Linked DNA regions of Drosophila melanogaster. The gene in region 4 interacts genetically with the main gene of each other region. Each region holds a gene or a part of one and is shown on either strand. Other genes may lie near its edges. The genes, in order: mthl1, Dif, fog and krz.

The links.
Region 1: of krz (region 4) and mthl1, changing one suppresses a phenotype caused by changing the other (phenotypic suppression), as found in Drosophila melanogaster (one study listed by BioGRID).
Region 2: of krz (region 4) and Dif, changing one suppresses a phenotype caused by changing the other (phenotypic suppression), as found in Drosophila melanogaster (one study listed by BioGRID).
Region 3: of krz (region 4) and fog, changing one suppresses a phenotype caused by changing the other (phenotypic suppression), as found in Drosophila melanogaster (one study listed by BioGRID).

What each region holds. Positions count from the first base shown.
Region 1 is NC_004354.4:16,638,910-16,645,733, forward strand, and holds the start of mthl1 (methuselah-like 1), read left to right. Parts: upstream 1-2,058; 5' UTR 2,059-2,567; coding exon 2,568-4,598; 3' UTR 4,599-4,600; intron 4,601-6,824. Other genes in the region: SNRPG (small nuclear ribonucleoprotein G), read right to left, coding at 1,071-1,121, 1,184-1,331, 1,397-1,428.
Region 2 is NT_033779.5:17,425,092-17,430,322, forward strand, and holds the start of Dif (Dorsal-related immunity factor), read right to left. Parts: upstream 3,109-5,231; 5' UTR 2,565-3,108; intron 1-2,564.
Region 3 is NC_004354.4:22,851,634-22,856,864, reverse strand, and holds the start of fog (folded gastrulation), read left to right. Parts: upstream 1-1,670; 5' UTR 1,671-1,822; exon of another isoform or gene 1,823-3,058; intron 3,059-5,231. UniProt on the Drosophila melanogaster protein: Coordinates cell shape changes during formation of the ventral furrow and invagination of the posterior midgut primordium, by inducing apical constriction of cells in spatially and temporally defined manners.
Region 4 is NT_033777.3:32,045,583-32,053,990, forward strand, and holds the start of krz (kurtz), read right to left. Parts: upstream 6,412-8,408; 5' UTR 6,258-6,411; coding exon 5,687-6,257; intron 4,288-5,686; coding exon 3,446-4,287; 3' UTR 1-3,445. Other genes in the region: mod (modulo), read left to right, coding at 7,153-7,395, 7,664-7,973, 8,041-8,408.

The DNA.
Region 1 (6,824 bases), on a different chromosome or scaffold from region 4:
TGTAAAAGTCTACGAAACATGCGTTCTTCGAATGCTAGAAACATTTTTTATGCGGTCTGTAAACAGGGGAATAGAATAGCTCCTCTTGGCAATGTAAAAAAGTGGTAGATTTATCAGGATGCTGCTCATATTAGTAATATGCATGTGCGAAGAACAATGTGGACAACAGCTACATTTGGCGTAATTAACTAGCCAATTTATACTTTTACCGAGCCTTCACATTGTTAATGGCTTTCCTTCTATTGCTAAACTATCAGTATCAGTTTGGTATTCTGCCCTTAGAAGGTGCATAGTTTCATTAACAATCCATGTGCTAAGTGGTTGCTTGCCTTGCAGAAATAAACATTTTATATCTATACACACTGCTCATGTGCGACAGCATAGTTCATTGAAATTTAGTCATGCGGACTTGGTAAGGTTAATCTTTAGATTTAAATCATTCCCTTTTTGGTGAAATGGTGGAGCTGCCTTGCTTCAATATATATTGTGTCTTGTTTTCTATTCCATTTCGACAAATAAAATCTGCGGATAAAGAACTTTCTGATATACTTGAAGTAAACTTCTTGCATTGATTGAAGACTAAAAAGACGTAGCCTTTTATTTTGTCGATCGAACATTGTTATACAAATTCAAAAGGAGATGGCCAAAATCTTTCAACAAGTAAGGCACTAATAGCCGAAAATAAGTTAAATTAACAAAGAAATCAAGAAGCCAAGCATTTGTATAAAATCAAAGGCACAAAAATTGATTTGGAAACCAATTATGTGTAAAGCTATCTGTGTTTGCATTTCTTGGAAAATACATTTGCTAGTCTTGGCGACGTCATTTAAAGTGGCAATCTTCCGACTCAAGTTCCCAATGCAGTAAATCCACAAAGTACGCAATATTATTAAATATTTTCGACTTATTTTCCAAACTGCTCATATAAATTGTCAGTTCAAAAAGGGGTATCTTTGTTATAGAATTTATTCAAGAGTTTGTGTGTTTCTTCTGACTATGAATGTTACGGAGCCTTAAGACTAAGCACTACGGCTAACGATGCTCGACGAGATCGGGTTCCGAGGCGGGTGCTAGACCCTGTCCAGGGCCTCCACCATGACGATGCTGTTGCCGCGGATAACCTGGCCAGGTGGGAAAAACGAGTGAGTCGATAGTTTATGGCAGGGTATGCTGCGCATCTTACCACCATGCCGATGTTGTTCTTCGTGTTGTCCTTGCACTCCTCCACCGTGTCGTCCAGGACCACGTTCATGAAGGGATCGAAGCCTCGCAAAATACCGGTCACCGCGCGTCCGCCGTTCAGTTTCAGCATCATGCGCTTGTCCATGTATCTGCAAGTTGTATTGTTAATTGCATTTATGGAGCGCTATCTTTTTCCCACATGGGTTGCACTTACTTTTTCACCTCTGGGGGATGGGCCTTCGACATTTTGATGGTTTAATTTGCGCAAAATGGGAAAATTAAGTAAAAACGCGGACCGCAAGCTAGAGATGTCACTATTGATTGGAGCTATACTATCGTCTTGGTCACTCTACCAACTGGTCACACTTTCGGGCGGGAAAAATATTTTTCCGCCAAATTCGCTGGCTTTTAAGTGCTCACATAAATGAAATTTTCAAATAGCAAATAACATAGGAATAATCCTTCTAAATCGCAATATAAAAACATATATACAAGGAGTGGTAAATGACAGTATTCTATTAATGGCAAAACGATTTATTTAAACAGACGTCGCATCCGCATAAACGATCTTTCACACTTTTTATTAACGGTTAGTATAAATAAAAAAAAACATTAATCCTTAGTTTATTTAACCAATTTTGTTTGCTGAAATCGATTCTTGAAAGAGAAGCTGACATTTTTTTTATATATGCCTCCCTACTTCAGGCAGTGCGAACATACCGCATCAACGCGACTTGTAGCGGCCGTGTGAAAAGGCTATTTTGTGGTTAGCGCAGATCTGCGCTGCAGTGTGACCCCGGCTACAGGTATTTCGGCATCGCACAGGGTCACACTCGCCCAGGCACCCGTATAAAATCCCCGCCCCCCTGATCGACGATAGTATTTCGAAAAAAACGCGAGGAAAAGTCTGATGCGCGTTAAAATCGGAGCGCAAATCGTGCATATATTTTTTTTTACACACCGCGCGCCGTGTTTACGACTGAAAACGGAGACTGACTGAAAAGCCTTGGCGCACAAGCACGCAATGAAAACGCAACGATAAGAATGTGATATTGTGATAAATACATGATTCGCTGACAACTCTATTTTATATTGGAATGCATTCGAAATCGAACGCAGCGCAGCGTGTGTTGTTTACTTAACGATTTTCGGTGTTTGTTTGCCCAACTTGCGGCGGTGAAATTCAGCATTTTCTGATTTTCCATTTGCCAACGAAAGAGAGGAAAAGTGAAAAGTGCTATTCGACGAAGCGAAACGGAACGCAAAATCAAAAGAAAAACAGCATAGCTAAAGCTATGTGTAGTACATAGCCACATAAATTGCAAATTGAGGCCAAGAGACAAGAGAACCTGAAATCCACACAGATCTTGACGAGTGAGCTAACGATGGACAGGAGTCGGAGTAGCAGAGCTGCCAGCAGCAACCAGTTCATCAGGCCATGTGGCCTACTGACGACCGTCATCCTGCTGCAGACGCTTGTGTCGATGAGTTTGGCCATCGAGGAGATGTCGCCACCACCGGCCGCCCCGCCACGTCCATCGCCGCCGCCCACCGTGAAGCTCAACAAGTGCTGCCATTCGGGCGAGTATCTGAACGATGGCACCTGCATCGCCGGCAGCGAAGCCCTGTGGCTGCCCATGGTGTACTTGGTGCAGCAGCAGCGCTTCTTCGAGCCCCATGGCGCCAGTCCGCGATTCTTGAAGTTCCTGCCCAATACGAGACCCACGTGCCGAAAGGACCAGACGACGGAGATCTTTCGCAGCCGCGGAGCCAATGTGATGCTCTTTCCCAATGGCACGCTCTATGTGCGGGAACGCGCTCTAATGGTCCAGCCGTCGGATTACTGTGTCGACTGGGAGGTGGCCGTCGTTTGCTTGAACGACAGTCAGCCGATCAATGCTCTGGAGGATCCCGATTATGCAGCCAATCCTCTCGTGCAGCAGGAGCCGCCCAAGGCTAGCCTGCGACTGAGCAAGTGCTGCGGCAAGTGGGGCAGCTATAACACGCAGCTCCAGAACTGCGATCTGCAGCCCAACCATCAGGCAGCCGTCGATGGACTGCTGCGATTGTCGCCGCAGCTACCGGAGGGCAGCTATCAGACTAGCTACGGCCTGCCCGACTGTGGCCAACCCGGTGGCTACTCCATTGCCGGTGATTGGCAGGATGCCAAGCTGGATCGGAACACGGCCATGCTCCAGTTGCCGCACAAGAACCTCAGCGCCGGACAATACTGCCTGGAGCACACGCAGCGCGAGGGCGAGGTGAAGATCATAGCCTGCCAGCATTTGTTTAGCTCCGCGGCAGGAGCCGGCATCCACGACGGCTCCATTGGAGGCACCATCGAGCAGGCCAATGGCCAGAATCTGCAGAAGGCCGTCCTGACTGGTGGCATACTTGTGTCCATTGTCTTCCTGTCCGCCACTTTGGTGGCCGGCTTCCTGCTGCCCGCTGTGCATCATGCGCTTCATTGGCGCTGCCAAATCTGCTATGTCACCTGCTTGCTATTCGGCAAAATACTGCTGGCCATCGAGGAGCTGAGCTCCAGCCTGCAGCCGGGCAGTGCCGCCTGCCATACGCTTGCTATCACCATGCAGTTCTTCTTTCTGGCCGCCTTCTTTTGGCTGAACACCATGTGCTTCAACATCTGGTGGACGTTCCGGGACTTTCGGCCCAGTTCGTTGGAACGCAATCAGGAGGCACTGCGTCGCTATCTGTACTCCCTGTACGCTTGGGGCGGTCCTCTGCTTATCACCTTCGTGGCCGCCTGCGTGGACCAGCTGCCGGAGACGACGCTACTGCGTCCGGGATTCGGACAGCTCTACTGCTGGTTCGACAATCGCAATCTCTCGATCTTCGCCTACTTCTACGGACCCATTGGCCTGCTGCTGTGCGCCAATATAGCGCTCTTCGTGTCCACCACCCATCAGTTGACGTGCGGCCTGTGGAAACGGGACGATGTCAAGTCCTCATCGGAGAAGTCCGCCCTGGGACGCGTCTGCCTGAAGCTAGTCGTCGTTATGGGTGTCACCTGGATAGCGGACATTCTGTCCTGGCTAGTGGGTGGACCGCATGGCGTATGGTTCTTCACCGACCTGATCAACGCCCTGCAAGGCGTCTTCATCTTCATCGTGGTGGGCTGCCAGCCGCAGGTGTGGACCGCCTGCCGCAGGATCTTCTGTCCGCGATTGCGTCATGACATCACCAATACGACCAACGGTGTCCAGCATTCGAGCAGCTCGCAGGGTTTGCCCTCGATGGCCGGCGGCACGGAGATTACACAGAACACCACCACCACCACCACGACAACCAACACGACCGCCACTCACATGCCCAGCAATCCGGCGGAGGATGAGGTACCGGAGAAGGCTCCCATTGCCCCCGTCGCACCCATCGTCAAAATGGAGACCATTTGCTAAACGTAAGTTGAACACCCGATAGCCAATGAAGTGTGCTTGTAAAGAGATAGCTCTGTTTGCCAGCGCGCAAACAAAGCGCCTGCTGTTCCCACTCCCAGCGCAGTTTGCCAAGTGGCTTACAAAACGCGGCTTTAAGCACACACACACACACACACACACTTGCTGATAGACTTATCGGCCTTAATGGGCTTTAGGGCCCAGCCGGGAATGCAAAGTATCTCAATGAGCTGGCTGGCTGGCTGGCTGGCTGTTTGCTCGCCGGTTACGCCATGCATCGCAGCAGTTTCGATCCTATAAAGCGCACGTATGTACAGGTGGGGCCACTTCAATATCACTAAGCAGCTTTAGCTTCAATAGACTTCAATCGGTGGAAGGTTTGGTATTTGGACCCAAGAACCTAAGTTTCTTATTAAGTTTTAGTCTTTCAAAAATAGCGTGCTAAATAGAGGGTCTTAAATTAACTCGAAAATGATTTAGAATCCGTGTAAATTGAATTGACACATTAGCTGAATTTTCCGGTATATAACCAAAAATGTCCGGACGATATATGTGTCGTAGAAGATAGTGTGATAATTGCGCTGTCTGTGGATTTAACCCAAATACCAATGAGGTATTCACAAAATGTGAAAACAAATAGGAAACCCCGAATTTGTCATGCGCCGACAACTTTCGAGAACCAACCACCACCATATGAAGATAAAAAACAAAAGAAACTAGTTTGGTTTTCTATGGGGGAAAACGATACGAACTTTTCAATTCAAAACCTTTGGAGTTTCAACGGTCAATGGCCATGTTGGAAAATACCCTTCTCTATAGGACACTATTCATCTCACACCCCCCATGTGGACTATACGCTATCCAGATGAAATTTAAGGGTTCGAGATTTCCTGACAACTTGCGGCTACCTGGAGCGTTTTTCCAACCAGGCGCCGGTTGAAAAAGTCTAGCACGTTTTCGTTTCGTTTTATGGTTTTATAGGGGGAAATTTACGTATTTACGTAGGATAAGAAGATCGTCCTGCGATGGTCAAATAGTGACCATATTCTTCATTTGCATGACCGAAATTGTTTAACAACATGCGCCAAGTTTACGATTTCGCGTGCACCACTTGAGTTCGAGTATGGTCATAAAGATGAAAATGTTGCCGCTGTGTGCCGTTATGTTTTTCATCGGAAAACTCTGACGCCGGGCCGGGCGAATTCGATTTTTGAATTTCCTGTCGATTTCCACATTTCCACATGGCCATAAAGTAATCAGCGCAACCCTTGACACACACGCAAGCGAAGATAATGGAAATCGTTGCTGGCATCCGTATCGGTTGGATTCAAAAAATGTGTGTTGCCGAATCCGTAAGGGAAAATCGAGTTTAAATTGGACTCACCGGCGACGATGGCGATGGTGATGGTGATAAGCACACAACACACCATCGTCTTGTTTGGATTTCGGCCCATTTACTTATTTACTTGTTACTTTGTTAGTTTGTTAGTTTGTTAGTTTGGTCGCCTCGAGTGGTTTTGACACATCTCCCAAATGATCCAATGGCAAACATGCGGACAGGTCTCGAACTCGGCACAATCTACAATTATCTAAAAAGAAACCTCTGTGCGGCGATCATAAAGTTTTGAAAAACAATAATTCCATTTTCGGGCACTAAAAAAAAAACAGGGCAACTTGAAATCTAGCATTAAACTGGTGGCTTAATGTTCCAATGAAAAGATAAGGATTTAACAATAAAAAAAAACTTTTTTTTTGTATGCACTGCATGTTGATAGCAACATTAATGAAAGAAACTAATCAATGAAGTTTCTGTTTCTCTATATTAACAACAAATGCTGCTTTGTTTAGGCCATGTTTTTGTTATTAGAGCCCAAGAAACATTGGTTTGCATTGCACAAAGGCGTATGGAAAATGTGTAATTACTTCAGTTTGTAACATTTTCGAATATGACAGCTGCTGGTGGCAGTTAATTCTTTGCCCTCGCGTTTTATTGTTTGTTACTTTTTACTTTTATTTTTTATTTTTTTTTTTGGGCCCTGATCGCGTCATACTTTTTGGGATGCGTGTCTGTCCGGGTGAACAGATGTGCTGTCTGTCTGCCATTCGCTTGTGTGTAGGTCCGTGTTGGAATCAGAGGTTTTGCCCAAACGAAAGAGAAAACAAAACAAACAGTGGGTTTTTGGCCCATGGGCCCATTCGATGAGATTGCGCAACCGAGTTAAATGGCCT
Region 2 (5,231 bases), on a different chromosome or scaffold from region 4:
ATCAAAGGAAACATTTTTGCAGTCAAGTAAATAATGCCCGAGCACCCCAAAAACATTCCCAGAATGCCGAGCCAGACCACATCGCACCAGACCTCATTTACCCAAGCGTTGGAGCCATTTCCATTCTAATGGCCAAGACAAATCGTTCGTACGTACATTCGCTTTCAGCCAAGAAAAACGACCGACACGCGATGGCCGAAAATTGGAGGAAACCGCAGCATTTAATTATTTTGCTATAAAACTTTTCACGATTCAATCAATTCAGATTCGGTACAACATGGCGTATGCGTAATGGGATTCAGCTATATTTTTCCCCGCATTGTTTGTAAAATTGTGTGGTGGCGTGAATTGTTTGTAGAACTTGGGCTTTGGTTGGCGATGTAAATGTGAATGACAGATCATTTTAAAGTTTAGTTGGTTTTTGTTCATGCGGAAAATGAAAAGAAATATATATAAGGTATAGTACTCAATCTCACGCCGGGTTATCAGGGAGACTAGAATATAAAGCCCCGCTGGGATTTTCTTCTTGCTGATTAAAGTTCAAGTCTTATCAGTTAATTGAAATAAGTTCAAAGCAATTGCATTTGCTCTCTTGGGTTTTCCGAAAAAGTGTACAAGTATTCAATAAACTGATCAAGCTGAATTGACTCTTGAAAACAAACATAATTAGTATAAGTTTGTTATATTATTTTACAGTAAAAATAGTTTTGAATCGATTACTGGTGGGTGAAAATACTATAGCTTACATGAAGCTTCTCATTGTGTATTCTTTAAATTTTAATTTAAATTTTAATTTAAAGAATAAGTAATTCAAAGGTTTCTGATAATTCTTAGCAACATATATTTAACCAGCTCTATCCAGAGTTCATCGTTTTGACCGTTTCTCAATTGTTTACCAATTAGACTTGCACCCTACACACAAATGTGTGTACAGGCTGTGACCTTCCTTCTCCCGCTGGCATTTAATTTACAATAACTTTCAATTCGGAAACAAGTCTGCTTAATACAATTGGCAAAGTTATAGCTAGACTGCGACTTTATACTGTATGTAAGCAATCGCACACACATGGACCAAAAGGTGTGAAAAGTGCGGACTTTGTTTGTGTTTTATTTTCTACAATTACCGAAAACAATTCCGCTGCCGTTGGCATCATCGGTTCATCGCCCAATACAAGTTAGATAGCTGCTGGCTGGGAGCAGATAAATCGATATTTGAGTAAGTTTTGACCATGACTGTTCCATTTCATTCTATTTTTATGGATTCCGAAACGGCCAAATGGCCGAATGTTTTGCGTGCGGATAAGGCAAAAGTCTTAAAGACTTTATGCCATTTCGTGTCTTTCGATTGCAGTTTCAGTTCCACGGTTCAGGTTGTATATTCCTTTGATTACAAATGAAATAAACGAAATCTTCCAGATGCCACCGCAAATTTTTATAAACTTTTGCCGTGCCGATTTCAGTTGTAAAAATATTTACATTTTGTTAATATAAATATTTGCATTTGCTTCGATTTTTTTTTTTTTGACCATTGAATTCCTCTTCTTTTTGGCTCCTCTTGAGCAGATTTTCTTTCACATTTGGAAAGTTATTTAAAGACTAACTGAGTAGCTATATTCTTCCAATTTTTTATATCAACGCCTAAATTATTTCCAATACAACAGCTTGAAATGTGAAAACGTCACAAACAGCTTTGGCACTATAATTTTGAGATAAGAGTTATAATGTTTATAATTGCATACATTATTGCTCTTGGGAGGAAATGTCTACTCTAGGGTGCAGTTCCGGCATATGTTATGTGCAAATGTACAAATCTGAACCAGTATGTTAATGATTTTTCGTAGTCGACCAATAAAACAAGAAAGAAACACTGGGACTACTAGTAAATGTCGTACTGAGTGTTATTCTCTTTTAATAAATCGCAGTCAACCGCCTTTCTTGTTTTCATTTGCATATATTATACGCCTGTTGGGTTGCAAAACTGCAGTTACACTAGCAGAAATATATATTTGCTGATAAGCAAAAACATACCATATTTTAATAAATATTTACGAAGTATTGCACAAAGTCTATATTTAATGTATTGATATAGCTATGCCTATAATCTTTCGGGTGTTTAGGTTCAAATCAAACAGGAAGTAGATTAAAGAAGTCACAAAAATATTTAAAATATTTCCCGCATGGACAAAAAAAACAAAATAAAAATAATACACTAAAAATTAAAATTTTTTGTCGTTTTTTTTTGCGATTACGCAGTCTAGTGAACCCGGCCGTATTCCCGTTTTTCACTTCACTATTAATAAATACAAATTTCATTACACGTGGCATTAGATAAGTAATTGCCCGCATCGGAAAATTGTGTACTTATTTATGTATCTGGGATTAAAATTTATGAATTCCGCCGAGTTGCTGGCACGTAGTTTTTTGCAGTGCCATTGCAATCGAACCTGACACGGGAAGCTGTCTGTACCTAAGTTTCTAAAGCCGCCTTCTGGACCGGGGACTTTACAAACTACGCCTTAAGCTAGCTAGCTGACTATAGTTTCAGAAAATTTATTATAGCTAACCTTTTATGGTGTAGTAGGTAGGCTGCTTTAAATGCTTGATTAAATTTGGATTCTCGATCCGAATGCACTGGGTCAGACAGAAATCGAATTAGCTCTTTGTTGTGTTGACACGTGTAATTGATTAAATTTGTCTTTTATGATTGACTGGTTTTCGGTTTATGTGTCGGACTTATCGCGCGCGACTCACAAAAGGCGCGCCAAAAAAATTATGAAGAAATTGAAAACAAAAACAAAAGTTGCTCCCACAAGCGACGTTGTTGCTCCGCTCATGTATTTTACTTTTGAGTTTTGTTTAATTTTTGCTATTGACACTGCAGCCGCCTGTTTAGAGCGGACATTGATTTATACACACATCTGTAGTTTACGTTGTAGTTGTCGTGCTTCGTATAATTAACCAATACACTGGCAGCTATATAGTCGCGTGCGACTTGCACAATATGCGTTATATGTACATCTATATGTATATATATATGTATGGATATCTATGTGTGAACAAGTCGGCGCTTCACGTCCGTCGGCGGCCAAGTTCAGATTGAAACTGAGCGGTTCGCTTCACACTCGGCTGCAAGAGAGCTTCGGAATGGCTTCGATAGCTCAGGCTCCATTCTCAGCTGTTCGCTCTCTGCGATCGCATGCATTCGGTTCGTATACTTGATACGTATACGTGATACGTATACGTGATAAAAAGTTACCGCTGCTGATATGATGGTTGCTGATCGCAACTGACGGAGGGTGCCAATATCTGTTTTTATTTTCGAAACTGCTTCACTTTTCCTTTATTTATTTTCATTTCCGTTGTGCGTACTCAATGTTTCGTTCTCTCTAATGTATTTGTGTTCAAGTGCGTTCCTATGACGCCATCGAGCAGAAAAAATGGTTATAGATTTTTAAGTGGATTTGGAAAAGTGTTGAGATTTTTATAACGCTCTGCAGGTGTTCCAATTTCGATTTTCGGCTATAAGTAAACATTGATTCCCTTACAAAAAAATGTGTACTTTTTGCTGGGAATGAAAATTTATTGTTATGAATGGTTTGGAAATATCATAAAAATTCAAAATACCTAAGATGTTATTTCACATGAACTCTTTTCTCATTAAAAATTCGTTTAAAATAGTGCACAGGTTTCTGGACAAATCAAGATCAAAGGTTTATTATAAGATCAGATAGGAGGAAAAGTTTTTCTTTATGTGAATCATTCGCCATTCTGGAATGAGAAGCCGAAAAAAATCGACAACTATTAGCCAGATGCATAACAATAGATCTATTTATCTAATATAGGTATGACAGCTGAATGTTTTTATTGATTTTCCCAGGAATTGACAGACCTGAAACGAGTTCGACCCTCGGCAAATGTAAATTATAAAATCCATACAACGTTGCTAATTCACGCCAACAAAATTCCCAAATGAGACCGAAAAAAGATTCGCCAACGTCTAAGGTCGAACTGAGTTATTAACTCAATTTTTGGCTTCTGTTCCATAGACAGATTTTAGTCATTGAAATAAACACAAGTGCAGACCAAACACGTAGGGGAAAAATATTTGCAGTTAACATTGCCAATCGGGTGGAAATATTTCATTATTGTTGTGCATGAATGAAAATAGTATAATTTATTTCTGCTAGCCCACGAAAATTTCGAACTAAAAACACAGTTTTCATGTAGCGTGGGCTCGTCTGCGGACAAAATGCATTTTGGGAGCAAATTTCCCGGCCGCAATTTACATCTATATAGGATTGCAACAAAGCCAAGAATACCTCAGGACGTGCAAAAATAAACTAAACTATTTCAGCTCTGGGGTTTGAGAAATTTTAAGTTAGGAAAACAGATATTTATTTATTTAGCAATTTATTGAGCAAATATGAATATTTAGATATAGATGAAAATATAGTACGACAATTTGTATAACTTTTTGAACATGTTATTATCAAATTTACAATTGTAATCCACACTTTTATTCTATTATTTTAAAATTTCTTGCTCTTTATGGCTAGGGATCACTGTAGAAGGATTTTAGTTGCGATTGTGCTTTTAGCCATACATGTATGACAAATGCCCCATGACGTAGTAGCCACTTTCAGTAAACATATCAGACGTCACAGAAATCTCCAACTCTTTATTAAGCTCCCCGAAGAAGAAGAGAAGAAAAAAAGGGGGAGAAGTCAAAGACTCTACCCCCGCCCAAACAACTCCCCCTGCAATTCTGGCACATTTGCGCTTCAAGGTCACGCGCGTGAGCGGGAACGAGAGGGAGAGAGAGAGCGAGGAAGAGAGAATGCAGAAAAACAAAGCCAAGCCCCAAAGAAATCGTGGAAGGGGGTGGAAGGGGGCGAAGGGGGCTTGACGGCGGAGCGCATAGTTGAGCAACCACTTGTTGTTGCTGCCGCTTTTATTGCTCCTCTTCAGCCAGCGCCAGTTTAAGGCCACCAAATATGCACTGGGAGAAACAAATAGCACATACATCTTAACAAAAAACACTTAAAGATTATAGATTTCTGGATATTAAATGGCCTATTGAATTAAGTGACAAATAATATCTAAAGTGGATTTTGTTGCATTTGTTGGTTTAGTATTTTATTAAAATATTAATTTTAACATTTTCTTTAAAGGCATATTTTATCAGATGCCTGAAGCATGTAAATTTAAAAAAAATAATTTATTATAAGGTG
Region 3 (5,231 bases), on a different chromosome or scaffold from region 4:
GTGGTCATTTTTAGTTCCCTAAGCTAACTCTGTAAATTTATTTTTTAAAGTAATGATCTATATCATCTACATAAAATTGCTTTTATTCATGAATTTTAGCCGGAATCACTGCATAAAAAATAAAGGGAATTCACCTTAATCAAATCGAAATTGAAACGCTGTAAACGACAAAGTGGCCTTAATTGGCCATTATGTTGGCCTAAACACCGGCACAGGCTCAAGTGGCGGCTAAAATTACCAAGAAGTGCGATTTGCGATTCAGTGCCCAATGATGATGACGGGGAACAAAACCATGACTGCTATCAACTTCAATTAGGTTTCGAGGAAATCCATCTCCGACTTTCCAGCTTTTCCGAGATATTTTTATTAAGCCGGCCACTCCAGTTAGCCTTACATATTTCCGAATGTTAGTAGTGTCTGTAGGGGTCTACCGAACTCGGACAAAATTGAAAATAAAAATTTTATTTAATAAGGTACATACATACATACATAGTACATATGTAAATAGAAACAAACAGCCAACGGAAAATTACCAGGAAGAGCCGTACTGCCTTTTTAAATTGAACAACTAGCAGCATTCAGAAAAAATTAAAAGCAGAGAACATCATTAATCATCCTTTGCAGGCGGCCAAAAGAGAGCATCTCCCTAATTGAGAACAAGAGAACATAACAGAAGAAAATGTTAATCATGTATGGGAAAAACAAAAAAGAAAAGAGAATTGTCGAGAAGAGTAAAAGGGTATACTAGATTCGTTAAAAAGAATGTAACAGGGAGAAGGAAGCGTTTTCAACCATATATGTATATGTATATGTACATGTACTTGTATATGTACATGTGTATATATGTATCGTGATCAGGATCAATCAGGACCAGTCGAACTGGTCATGTCCGTCTGTCTGTCCGTCCGTATGAACGTCGAGATATCAGAAAATATAAAAGCTAGATTCTAGAGACATTAGACGCAGCGAAAGTTTGTTCCCCATGATGCCACGCCCACAAACCTCCCAAAACTGCCACGCTCACACCTTTGCATAATGTTTTGATAGTTTTCCATATTTCTATGACTCTTGTTAATTTTTATCGATATGATAAAAATTCCCACTCTAATGCACCAAAACTGACACTCCCACACTTTTGAGAAATGATTTAATTTTTTTGTATTAAACCAGTTGTTTTTCCAATTTATAGATATGCCGAAGATATGCTATCTTAAACCGCCCAATATATCCTGCCCAGACCTTAGAGAATTAAAATTAATTTTTTCCCACCAATTTCTACTAATGTTCGTGAAAAATGTTGAAAAGTCTCGTCCCACTTGGACTTGCTGAATAACGGGTATCTGATAGTCGGGGAACTCGACTATAGCGTTCTCTCTTGTTTTAAATTAATGACATACATACTCAAAACAATGCACGATCAAAACAGCAAAATGATTTCTTTGTGCAGTTGCAACTTAAGAGCAATGAAAACTGAGCGCGGCTTCAGCGCGCTCTTTGAAAAGAGTTCCCTAATGCCGCGCATCGGCTCTTTTCTCTCGGCTAAGATCATTGTCGAACGCGCGTACATATACATATATACAGTACATGTATATTTATATCTGACCACTCTCTGTCTGTCGCAGCGACTGCGGCGCCGACGTCGACGCCTGCGACGACACGTTTCGAAGCCGCTTCTCATTCAAAAAACAACTGTGAACGTGATCGGTAACGGTGCGTGTTCTCTTGTCCGCCCGCTACAGTCTCTTCAAAAAAAAAAACTTAAAAGAAATGAGGGGGGAAGAAAGCGGATAAAAATCACCAACAATAGTAGCAAATGAAAAAAGTAAAGTAACACTATCATTTCGATTGAATTTGTAACATAAATTCGATATTTAAGAGACATGTGCAATCGGTCAAAACGTGGCGCATATAACTTAAAAGCAAATAGTAACATGGGAATATAAATTTGTAATATACATAAATATCTTCTGATTGTGTCCCTTAAAAACGTTTCTTCGTGTGCTTTTATTTTATCTAAATTTGACCCGATTTTAATTTGAATTTGAACAAGAACCTAAACTAAAACAAAACAAAAAAACATTCGAATGCTTATCTGTAAAAGGAAACAGGAAAGAGAGAACGAACGAAGTGAAAATAAAGTAGAATAAAATAAAATACATACTACGAGGCATGTATAAATATACTACGCTTTTGTGTTTATACTACATTGTGAAACAGTTGTCGTTGTACTTGTTGTTGTCTTTACAGCAACAGGCGTCCGATAATTTATAATCTTAAAAATATATGTGCGCCGTACATATAGATTCGCCTACTGAAAAACCCGAGATCAACTTTAAAATACTAGTACCAACCATAATTTGAAGCTTAGCTTTGAGTTATAAATATTTAGTTAACGTTATTTCACAATGATATATATTAAATATCTACAATATTTCACAATCTTAAGCTATTTTCGGTGCACATGTAGGCATTATTTTTGAATTGCACTCAATGTTGCATACAAAATAATTCTCTTTCGTTTTTCCCAAACAGGATGTTACCATTGATACCTTTTGAAGTCGATTTGTTGTAGTGTGTTTTTTTTTCGTGTGCGCAAAAGTCTTTGTGAATTATATGATAATACATGTGATACAGTTGGAGAAATAAAATAGATAAATCAACAAAATCGAATACAAAACCGTGTTGTCCTAATGAGCCTAACAACTGCAGCGAAAAATGAAAGGCAGCCAGCGACGGGAAAACTTTAAGCAACTGAAAAAAATTTAGTATCTTACAAGTTTGAACTGGCTCTTACCAGCAAGCCAATCAACACATACATATAAAATTCTTAATAAACCAAACAAAAAATTAAGCTCAACCGCCATCAAATCGAAATTCAAAACGAGCCAATTTGTGGTGTTTATTATTTATTTGTATGCTAATTTATTTTTACAACAACTTGATATTAACCCACAATCAAAGAAAAACAAAAGTGGGGAAAAGACAAAGAAGAAGCAACTAAAAGCAAAAGCAGCGCACCTTCTTCGGCATCTTTGTTTTGGGATATAAAACAGCAAAAGTAAGTGGATTGTATGTATTTTTATTTAACGTTTATGTGTGTTTTATAATGCCCATCGAATAACCCATTATTACTTTGCGCTGCGAAACTTGTTTCTTAATGCAAATTAAATTGAAAGGAAGCCAGCGAAATGTATACAGCCCAGAAAATTTGGATAACAGATTCGAAACCCACAGTATCTCGTTTCTGGTACTCCTTATTATCCTGCTTCATTATTTCCTGGGTATCAGGATGTCTCGTTTTCGTGGGCTTATCCTAGCGGTTTTTCCGGTCTCACGCCCGATGCTGACCTTCTGACTCTGCGGATGTGGGAAATCTAGCCATTCTGCAGATACAGAGCTGGCTCTTGAGATCTTAAATGACCAAATCGGGAGGTATTTAGTCTAATGCTTTTCGAAGTAGCTATTACGCGTCCAAATGGATTCAGCATGAATATGTTTGGGCTCATGCCATTGACTGACGAGTAGGTATAGTTTCCCTAAAAGCGAACTGATAAATATTAAAAGCATTTTTAATCACTTCTTGAACAACAATAGACACGTGCACATTTCTCAATCTGGTCAAGCGCCTTACTAGTTATTGCAAAAACCAATTTCACGACGTGACCACAATGGATGACAACTGACCTTAGTGTCATCATGCAACCAAAACAATCGAACTACACCAATTCGAGGCGCATTAGGTGTCTTATCGGGGTTCGCTCTCAAACATTTGCCAAACAAGTGAGTTCACGATTATGTTTACAGAGGTGAGTTCCATGAGTTCGCTGGTAATGGACATGATGATGATAATGCCGATGAAGTCACGCGGTGACTATCAGCGCCAATGTGGCAAAGTGATCACTTCCGCTGGACGCAAAATATATTGCGGCTTAAAATGGAAAACTAAAAGCAAACCATGAACGAATTTCGGTACCAAAATTTTATTCCCGCATGAAAGTGTAACCAAGTTAATTGCATTTAACCGACTGTCCAAAAAATAAAGAGCTGGAAGGGTGGCCAAGCACTCAAGTGACTGGGAAATTGTTGACATGCACACTGAGAAAAATGGCCATATTTATGTGTGTATTTAGTAAATTTTTCCGTGGACTCGTTCTTTTATTTGTTTTTGCGCAGACATGAATTACAAAATGTTTTTTGTGCAAGTTCCAAAACGCCCGCAAAATGCTCCAAAAGTCATTATCAGCAATAGAAAGTGTTACAGACGGCACGAAAATTAAATTACGGGTATTGTGATGGTACGTATACATACATATGTATGAATACTATATAGATAGAGTTCGCTTCGATTGCCTCGACTATCAGATAGCCGTCACTCAGCCATAACTCCTAAAATAATTATCCGATTCAAATTATCTATACAGCTATTGTCTTCCGGACATACATATATTTATGCCTATGTTGATACCCCCCCGGGAACGTGGAATGAAATCAGCAACCGAAAAAAAAAACGAATCTATCACGAAATTATTTTCGAGGCTCTTGAGTCCCTTGTGCCCATGGCTATGCAGCCGTGGTAAAATTGATTCAGCTGCATCGGGGCAAACAGCATTAAACGGTCGATCCATAGGGCAGTACGTGCCTGAGGGCCCAAAAGCCGAAAACCAAAAACCGATGGCAATATACGACCTCCACTTACACGAAAAACTTGGGGATTATTTGTTCTGGAATTTCTGGAATCTATCCTATTCCCATTCTGTACAATGCTTTCAAGGGGATTCCAAGAAATCGGCTAATGCTGATGTAAGAAGTTCCGAAAAAGTTCGTACCTGGAAGTACTAAATACAATACATATGTACATTTGGCGTAAAAGAGTGCTTGTAAAAAGTTGAGTCATACGGACTAGAAATGTATGGATGTATGGAGCAGAAGGACAGGAAAACCCGTATGTACATACATACTCGTATAATATATTGTAACTACACCGACGAAAAGCTATCCGAAATGGAAAACAATGGCATATGCTATGCTATGCTACTATCTAACCATCTCTTTTACATAAGTTCTGGTCCAGAAGTCGTGCAATTGCAGTATTTACTTATCTGGTTTCGTCATCATTTGCCCATTCCATGGCATTCATTCAGTTAGTTATTCACCTGTTGAACCTGAGTTTGGGTAGCCCATGCTAATAAGGTAATACATATTCGCCGTTAGAGCGATGAATCCACCTGCCT
Region 4 (8,408 bases):
CTAGACACTGAAGTCATGGACAACTTAAACCGTAAATGGTATGGCCCTATAACTTTTTAAATAAGGTTAAGGCAATTAAGCCGAAAATATTTATAAAACTATTAAATCATAAAAAACCTGGTAGGAATTTTAGGCTTAAGAGTCGGCACGGATAACGGTTAAAATTTGCTTAGGCGTTACTAGAATCCACATGTAAGCCCCAAATCTGTAGCTCCTAAAGTTAACTTTTAACAGACAGACAGGACTTAAGGGTCAAACAAATCTGGTAGGACCATTGACTTTACGAGTAACGGGTATAGTAATGATATTTGGAATTTTAAAATACGTTGGCAATTTCAATGCAAATGCATTAGTTATTTATGGTTTCGTTCGCATAAGGCTCGTATGTAAAATGTTAATTATTTGATGGACACGTTGGAGGGTAGGGATTATCATGGCATGAGAATTTATATTGATATTATTTTCTAAAATAAAAATTAAAGTTTTTATAAGGATTTCGGCTACCATGTATTATTGTGGTATATACAATGCATTGTTAATTATACAATATTAAAGCTTTTCAAACATAGTCTTTTCCAAAAGTCCACTCTTTTTTCCTCTCTTATGGAGCTCCAACGTGTCAGTCAAAAATGTTCTTTCTCCATATTTCTTTGCATCCTTTTTTCAACACTAAACATACAACATTCAATCTTTCACTTTCGTTTATATTTTTTATACATTAGTCATGAGTAGGTAGGTATTGTATTTCATATTCTGTTTGGTTCGCTCGCTTGATGCGTTGGCTACGGTGGCAAATATTTAGTCGCCTAGTTGTATACACACAATAAACCAAATATTTATCAAATTGAATACAACGCATATCCAGACCAAAACGTTTTTTAGAAAATAAAAGTGACATATTTTTAATATTTCTTGCGCCAGCTTTAAAAGGTTTTATCACCTTAACCCGCTACCCATATATATATATATATATTCTATTTATTGTGCAGGCTATGAAAGGTTTCATCCACTTAAATTGCAACACATATACATATATATGCTATTTTTTAAAAGGTATTATCAAAACCATTACAACTTATCTTAAAAGTTATCTTAGCTTCTTAAAAATCACACCATTTTAACAAATAAGAACATGTAACTCACAGTACAAAAGTGATGTTGCTCATATTGCAGTTGGACCCGTTGAACACGATAATATCGCTAGACCGATAGTTTCTGCGATTTCTGCAATATCTGCTTTGATTTATTATCTTTATTGGAAACTAACTGTAAATTGTTATTTTTAATTCTTAAATAGTTTGGTAAATCATTTGATAATAATTCTACTATGACTAAAGCAAGACGACTCTTTTAAAAAATCAACGATTTGTGTTAAAAAGTTGTTGTGCTCGTTCTAAAATGTATTTGTTCAGGTGGTTCAACTGCAGAAAAGATCATTACAACTCTTCAAGTGCTCATTCGGTTTGGGGCACAAGCTTACATATATTATTTGCTTTTTAAATGCTTCACACTTGAAGTTATGCCCTAATTTTTTCTTTATAAATTTATAATACTCACACACCTCTGCTGTTCTCATTTCAATTTATGCCTTTTAATATTAATTGCTCCAACATTTTTGAATTTGTTGTATTATATTTGTATACATTTAACAAGTTTGTGATGCGCTTAATATTAATTTATTATTATTCATAATTTCTCCAATATTGTTCACTTTAAAAATAAAAGTACGAACCTATACATCAAGCTAATACTAATTTCACATTTACACGTCCTATAAAAAAATAAAATTATTAAAATGTTTTAAATTTTGACAGTATTAGCATTTCCTAAAGCAATAAAATTTAATTTCAGCTCAAGTTCGCAATTTAAAAGCCCCAATTTCAATCATTCGTATTTTTAAAGTGCTTTATAAAAGAAATCATATTTCGTCATCTCTTGTTTGGTTTACATTTGGAAATGTTCTGATCACGTTTTTAATTTGTATCTCTAAATAAGTTTTACGAATGCATTACTCGTGTAGTATTTTTCGTTGGCGAATTTCGATTCGGACATTGTTAATTAAAGTAAGAAAGAAATTGGTGTTCAACGTAAAAATTTCCCACACGAAAGGTATTTCCCAAAGGTGTTTGAAAATTGTCTATGTTAGCTATTTCCGCCTGTGAAGGTCCACTTCATGTAAGCTTTAGCCAAAGCGGTTTTATCAGCAAAGAGCTGGAGTTTTTAATCCAAATCCACCATTAGTTAATTGCTTTGTTGTCGTTTAAATTATTTGTTTTAATTTTTTGTGGAGAAAATTAAAAGTGGCTTAACTGGGTCTAAGACCACATTTCGCCATTACACTTTCAATTACAAGAGAGAACGGTATAGTTGATATACCAGAGTATCATTTTCTCGTTCCCAAACTAGTGATAGAGCTATAAAGAAATTTCAAACCTTTTAAAAAACTGTCTACGTGTGAGTAGTCATGGCAATCTTCTGTAACAAATGGCCATGACAGCGTTTATACAGACAGACGGAAATGGTCAGATCGACTTGGTTGGGTATCCTAACAAATAATAAATGTACCTTATAGGGTCGGACTCGCTTCTAGGGTTACAAAGTTTGTAATGAATCAAGAATGCCGTCTTAAATTAAATTAAATTTGTGCTAAAATTAAATTTAAAAACTATTTTAAAGCTTTTTCAAGAATAGTTTTTTTGCATGCACGACTTTAATGACAAATAACAAATCATTGTTTCAAGGTATGGGTATGGATATTTCTAATATTATTATTTTTTAGTAATAAATTTTGAAAACAAATTATTTTTGAAATATTGGAAGAATATTTATAAAACAACATCCAAACCTCAAGCCATCCTAAAACATTTCTTTTTAATTGCAGAAAAGAAATCTAGAAACATTTTTAGTAACGTACTCTACTCAAAAAACTTATTTTAAATTAGTTGCGAACAAATTATCAATGCATTGCAAAGCAATAACAATGTCCCAAAAAGAAGAGGCATAATAAAAAGATCATTAGAATTTGTAAATGAATTTTTGTTTTATGCGTTTTTATAATGGGAGAGGGCATTTAATAAAAAATATTATACAACATTTACATATCAAATTTTGTGAATTCTTTCAACTTTTACAGGTGTGGCCGAAATACTTCGCTCGTGTAGTTAACTTATGCGTGGGCATTTTGTGTAGATCTGGTGTGTTGACTGGTTTATCAATTTCACATTTTAAAATTCGTACACTTTCAGCTTAAACCCTATAGATACTACAATATATGGCCTACACATATAAAATAGCTTAAATCCAACTGTTTACCATGGCTATTGGTATAAAACTTTACATTTAGAGGTTGCCCAATTTTCTCATACTTTTTATATTATACAAATGCCGAAAATAATAGTAGTATTTTCTTCATATGAATTAATAGTTCGATCTATTCCTTTTTCATCTAGGCCTCTGTTTCAGCGCCTTTTAGACGCAGACGGGCAAAGTCCTCAAAAATTATGTCGTCATCTTGTGCCTCGTCGTCGTCCAGCTGAATGAGATTTGTTGTCGTTGGCACATCCTGCCCGCCAGTAGCCGATTCAGTTTCTCCGTCACTCATGCTCACTAACGGCAGACCCCCGCCTGCTAAACTAGCCCGTGGCGATCGCTCCCCTAACAGTGGATGCTCTTCCTCCTCGGGCTTAGGGTGCATTAGTGTGAATGGCAGCTCAGCTACGAGGTCACCATTTAGAAGTGGCGAGCTAATCAGCAACTTCACCTTCACCTTATAGTGGACCATAATACCGAGACTCTCACGCTGAGCAGGATTGGTAATGAGAGTGCTAGACGCCAAATTGGTGTCCTCATGCTTTAGCTGCCCGTCCAAAGCAAGGCCCCATTTATCCTTATTATTTGCCAATAGGGGGCACAACTCAAATACCTTCGAGAGTGTAAATCCCGGAGCCACTTGACATCCGTCTTCTGACTCGATTTCTGCCACTACAGATTTATATTGCGCCGTCGAAAAGAGACAAATATCCGCAAACTGCCGGACACATACCTTAATCTTTTTTACCGTCCGATTTGAGTTGTTGGCCACATGAACGTTGACCGATATTTTTTCGCCGTGGTGGTATAACTCCTTGTCCAAAGTAGCTTCCAAATGGATCTTGTTTGGCTTCATCATAAACTCCTTGCTTACTTCGATCGATGGCTGCTCACCGACTTTGGATGGTGCGTACATGACTTTGCGAATAGTTAGTCGCACCGAGTTCCGCTTGTGGGGTTTGTCCTCCACGTTCTCACCTATTAGTGATAAACATTATGAATAATGGCATCAATGTATGTATGTTTGTTGAAGAAAACCCATGACGCTCGGGTGTGTCAGTAGTCCGATTCGTTACAAAATTTGTCGTTGATGTTGAGTCTATCATGTATAGAATTCCACGATGTTTAATCACAAGCCGACAATTACTGGCATTTACATATGGATATATATATATATATATATATATATATATATTATTCATATATATGCATATACATTCATTTAATTGATCATCAATAGCATTGCTTTAAAAATACGCATAAATATATATAATTGGTTATCCCAAAAACATAAAAGCTAGGAACATTAGATACACAATTGAACAGACGCAAAGTAAATAAAAATGCTGACTCAATTGTCATGAGGGGAAGCAGAGAAGCACTGAGAAATCGTTTCTTCCAACTGTACAAATTCCAACATTGTTGTTTTTATTCTTAAATTGAATTTGGGCTTATATACAGAAAAAATAAATATTAAGTTCTTGTTATAAACTCTTTTACCCAACAACACGCCAATTGCTGCTATTTTATTAATCTCTGTTTATAACAGTAAACAATTTGGCTGCTGAATAATAATAAAATTCCAACAGAAACTATAAAAGCACAAAAATGTGTAAACAAAATAGGGCAATAGGTAATAATATTTATTGAACAGAGAATGTATTAAGGGGGTGCCACGGGCACATAATATATATGCGAGTGGAGCTCGGCGATCGTACGAAAATATGAAAAATTTAAAATTTACAGAAACCAAAAACCTTTCTACTAATAAAATAAAGCACAAATTCTTTAAACCTTTTTTTAATTATTAAATACAGATTAGAAACTAAACAAATAAACATTTTGAAACTATGTAAGATCTTTGCTGTTGGCACACAAATCGTCAGACCGCCAACTGCGGCGCCTGGTTAAGGCGAACAACAGCATTAACTGCGCTGCAACTTCGGTTGATTCAAATTCCAATTAGAAGTGTCGAATTTCAATTAGGTGAACGCTGCGTCATCAGCCCGACGTAGTTGGATTGATTAACCCTGTGTTCCCAACCGCGTGATGCACGCGCTAACTTACACAAAACCACACATATAAGAAATTTACAGTCTAACTTCTATAGAAAAGAACAAAGCTAGTTTTGCTACTGTAACCATATTCTTAATAAATTATTTTATTCTCAGAAACAATAGTACCCGCAATTTAACTGCTCTAAGGTAAAAGAAAAATTTGTAAAGAAAAAAGAAAAATTTGTAAATTTGTAAATTTAATGTATTGCAACATATATAATAAACACGGTATGTGCCACACTGCGAAATATCAATGATTTTGACTTTGACTGACCACCGTATACGGACACACCCACAAGATCAGACCCACAAAGACTCACCCACAAAGGCCTTCAGCTCGTAGTCTACTCCGCAAGACTTGCCCACATCTCCAGGAGCCGGCTGCAAGGACACAGAGGCTGGGCAATAGGGCGGAACCTCAAAATAAAACGGATGGGCGTTCGGCCCCAGCTTTTTAATTAACCTTTCCTGAAGCCGGGTCATCGGGCGGTCCAGCTGCATGGGCGGATAGATCTGCTCATGCGCCAGATACAGGTCCTTACGGAACGTTAATCCCAAAACATCTAGGTCTTCACGTCCGTACCGAAAGGCGGCAAGCACCTGGCCAAAAACCTTACGGTCCTTTACGTACTCTGGATCAATGAAGACAACACCGTCAATGGGATCCACGTGCGTGACATGGTCGACGAAGTCCCGTTTGCCAAGGTAAACTGTTATCTTGCCGTTGGAGGAGCTCTTCTTAAACACCCGAGTCGCCTGGCGTCTGGAGCTGGCATCTCCACCAGTCTCGTCGCCTGCGCTTCCGCCCCCAGTGCTCCCGGCAGCTGTTACATTGGTGCTGGAGCCATTGCTCACATTTGCTCCTCCACTTCCTCCACCACCACCGTTCATTATGTTATTTGGCGGTTATGCTTGTTATTCTGCTTTTCTGCTGTTCCTGCTTAATTGGAACTCCGTTAAATAAATATATGTGTGCGTTGCGGGACTTGTGCTGCAATTTAATTTTTTATGTGTATACTTGTTCCGCCATTTACCAGCACTGCTTGACAGTCATTGGAAAAATACCAGGGAATATTACATACTAACAAATTATGTACTTCTCTGGTATTTCAATTCAGTGCGAACAAACCGATATATGTTTGGTCGTACCATAATCGCAGCCTATAATTAATATTTATTTTGCATTTTTGGCACCTATTTATATTTCCTAAGTGTGCCCTGGCCCATAGTAAGTGACTTTTAATAATTTTTCTTTCAATACCATTAACAATTGCTTGAATTAACATTAAGTTTCCTACTAAGATAAAATGCAACTGCAGGTTGACTTGGCTTTTTAATGAAATATAATATATATATTATAAATTCCTTTAGAAACAGATGATTCATAGCTGATGATTGAGGAAACTTACCATTTGGAATGTATAAACACATGTAAAATCAGACCGTTGGTAAATATCTAATCATAGATTGTATCCTAAGTCTTAAATAAATACTTTATATAAACTGTTTAATATTTATTTTATTTTTTAAAGGCTTTTATTATTTTTATATGTATACATGTGCATGAACGGACTTTAAACCATATTTAGTAGTGGAATAGAGCTATAAAAATGAGATTGAAGTCTCTAAAATACTTTATTTAATCAGCCTTAGCACCGATAGAGCACAACGGTCACACTGTTCTGTCCCTCTTTTCCACGTGCATTTTATTGAACGAAACCACGCGTTGTTCAGTCCAAACTTGACTTTGCTAATTTTGCCCAGAAAACCTCTAAAAGCTGTCAAAATGGCCCAAAAGAAAGCCGTCACCGTCAAAGGAAAAAAAGCTACGAATGGAGAGGAAAAGCCTTTGGCCAAACGGGTAACCAAGTCCACAAAGGTACAGGAAGAGGAGACAGTAGTCCCCCAATCGCCTTCCAAAAAATCCAGAAAACAGCCTGTTAAAGAAGTGCCGCAGTTCAGTGAAGAGGACGAGTCTGATGTGGAGGAGCAAAATGACGAGCAGCCAGGGGACGACAGCGACTTTGAGGTAAGCTATAAAAAAAACGTGGTCTTCTGAATGGATATGGCTAACATTACATGCATAGTATGCACGTATATATAGATCTGCATGGATAAGAATCCATTTTACGTTTTCTTTGCCACGTGGTTGTAAAGATTTTATAATTATAAGACGAGTGCACATAACCCACGATCCTCTGGTTTTATACCGACTCGGTTCATATATCGATAAAAAAAAAATTGTCTTTATTGGTGCTCTCCCATCAGCGGTTATAAGAAAATTGTCTACTTTTCAGACCGAAGAGGCAGCGGGCTTAATTGACGACGAGGCTGAGGAAGATGAAGAGTACAATAGTGACGATGAGGAAGATGATGATGACGATGAGTTGGAGCCTGGTGAGGTTTCCAAAAGTGAAGGCGCGGATGAGGTAGATGAATCCGATGATGATGAAGAAGCGCCTGTAGAGAAGCCAGTTTCCAAGAAATCAGAAAAAGCCAACTCTGAAAAGTCCGAAGAAAATAGAGGAATTCCAAAAGTAAAGGTTGGCAAGATTCCGCTGGGAACGCCAAAAAACCAGATCGTTTTTGTCACAAACCTACCAAACGGTAAAGTAACTGGTTTATTATTTCATTTTTCAAGTATATTTAAACTTAGTATATTTGTTCCACATAGAGTATCTCCACAAGGACTTGGTCGCATTGTTCGCCAAGTTCGGACGACTTTCCGCTTTGCAGCGTTTCACTAATTTGAATGGCAATAAATCAGTTCTCATTGCCTTTGATACGTCAACTGGAGCAGAAGCTGTTCTGCAGGCTAAGCCTAAAGCGTTAACCCTTGGAGACAATGTTTTGTCTGTGTCCCAACCGAGAAATAAGGAAGAGAACAACGAACGCACGGTGGTGGTTGGCCTGATTGGACCTAATATTACCAAGGACGACTTAAAAACCTTTTTTGAGAAGGTAGCTCCCGTGGAGGCGGTGACTATATCCAGTAACCGCCTCATGCCCAGAGCTTTTGTACGTTTGGCGTCGGTCGATGAC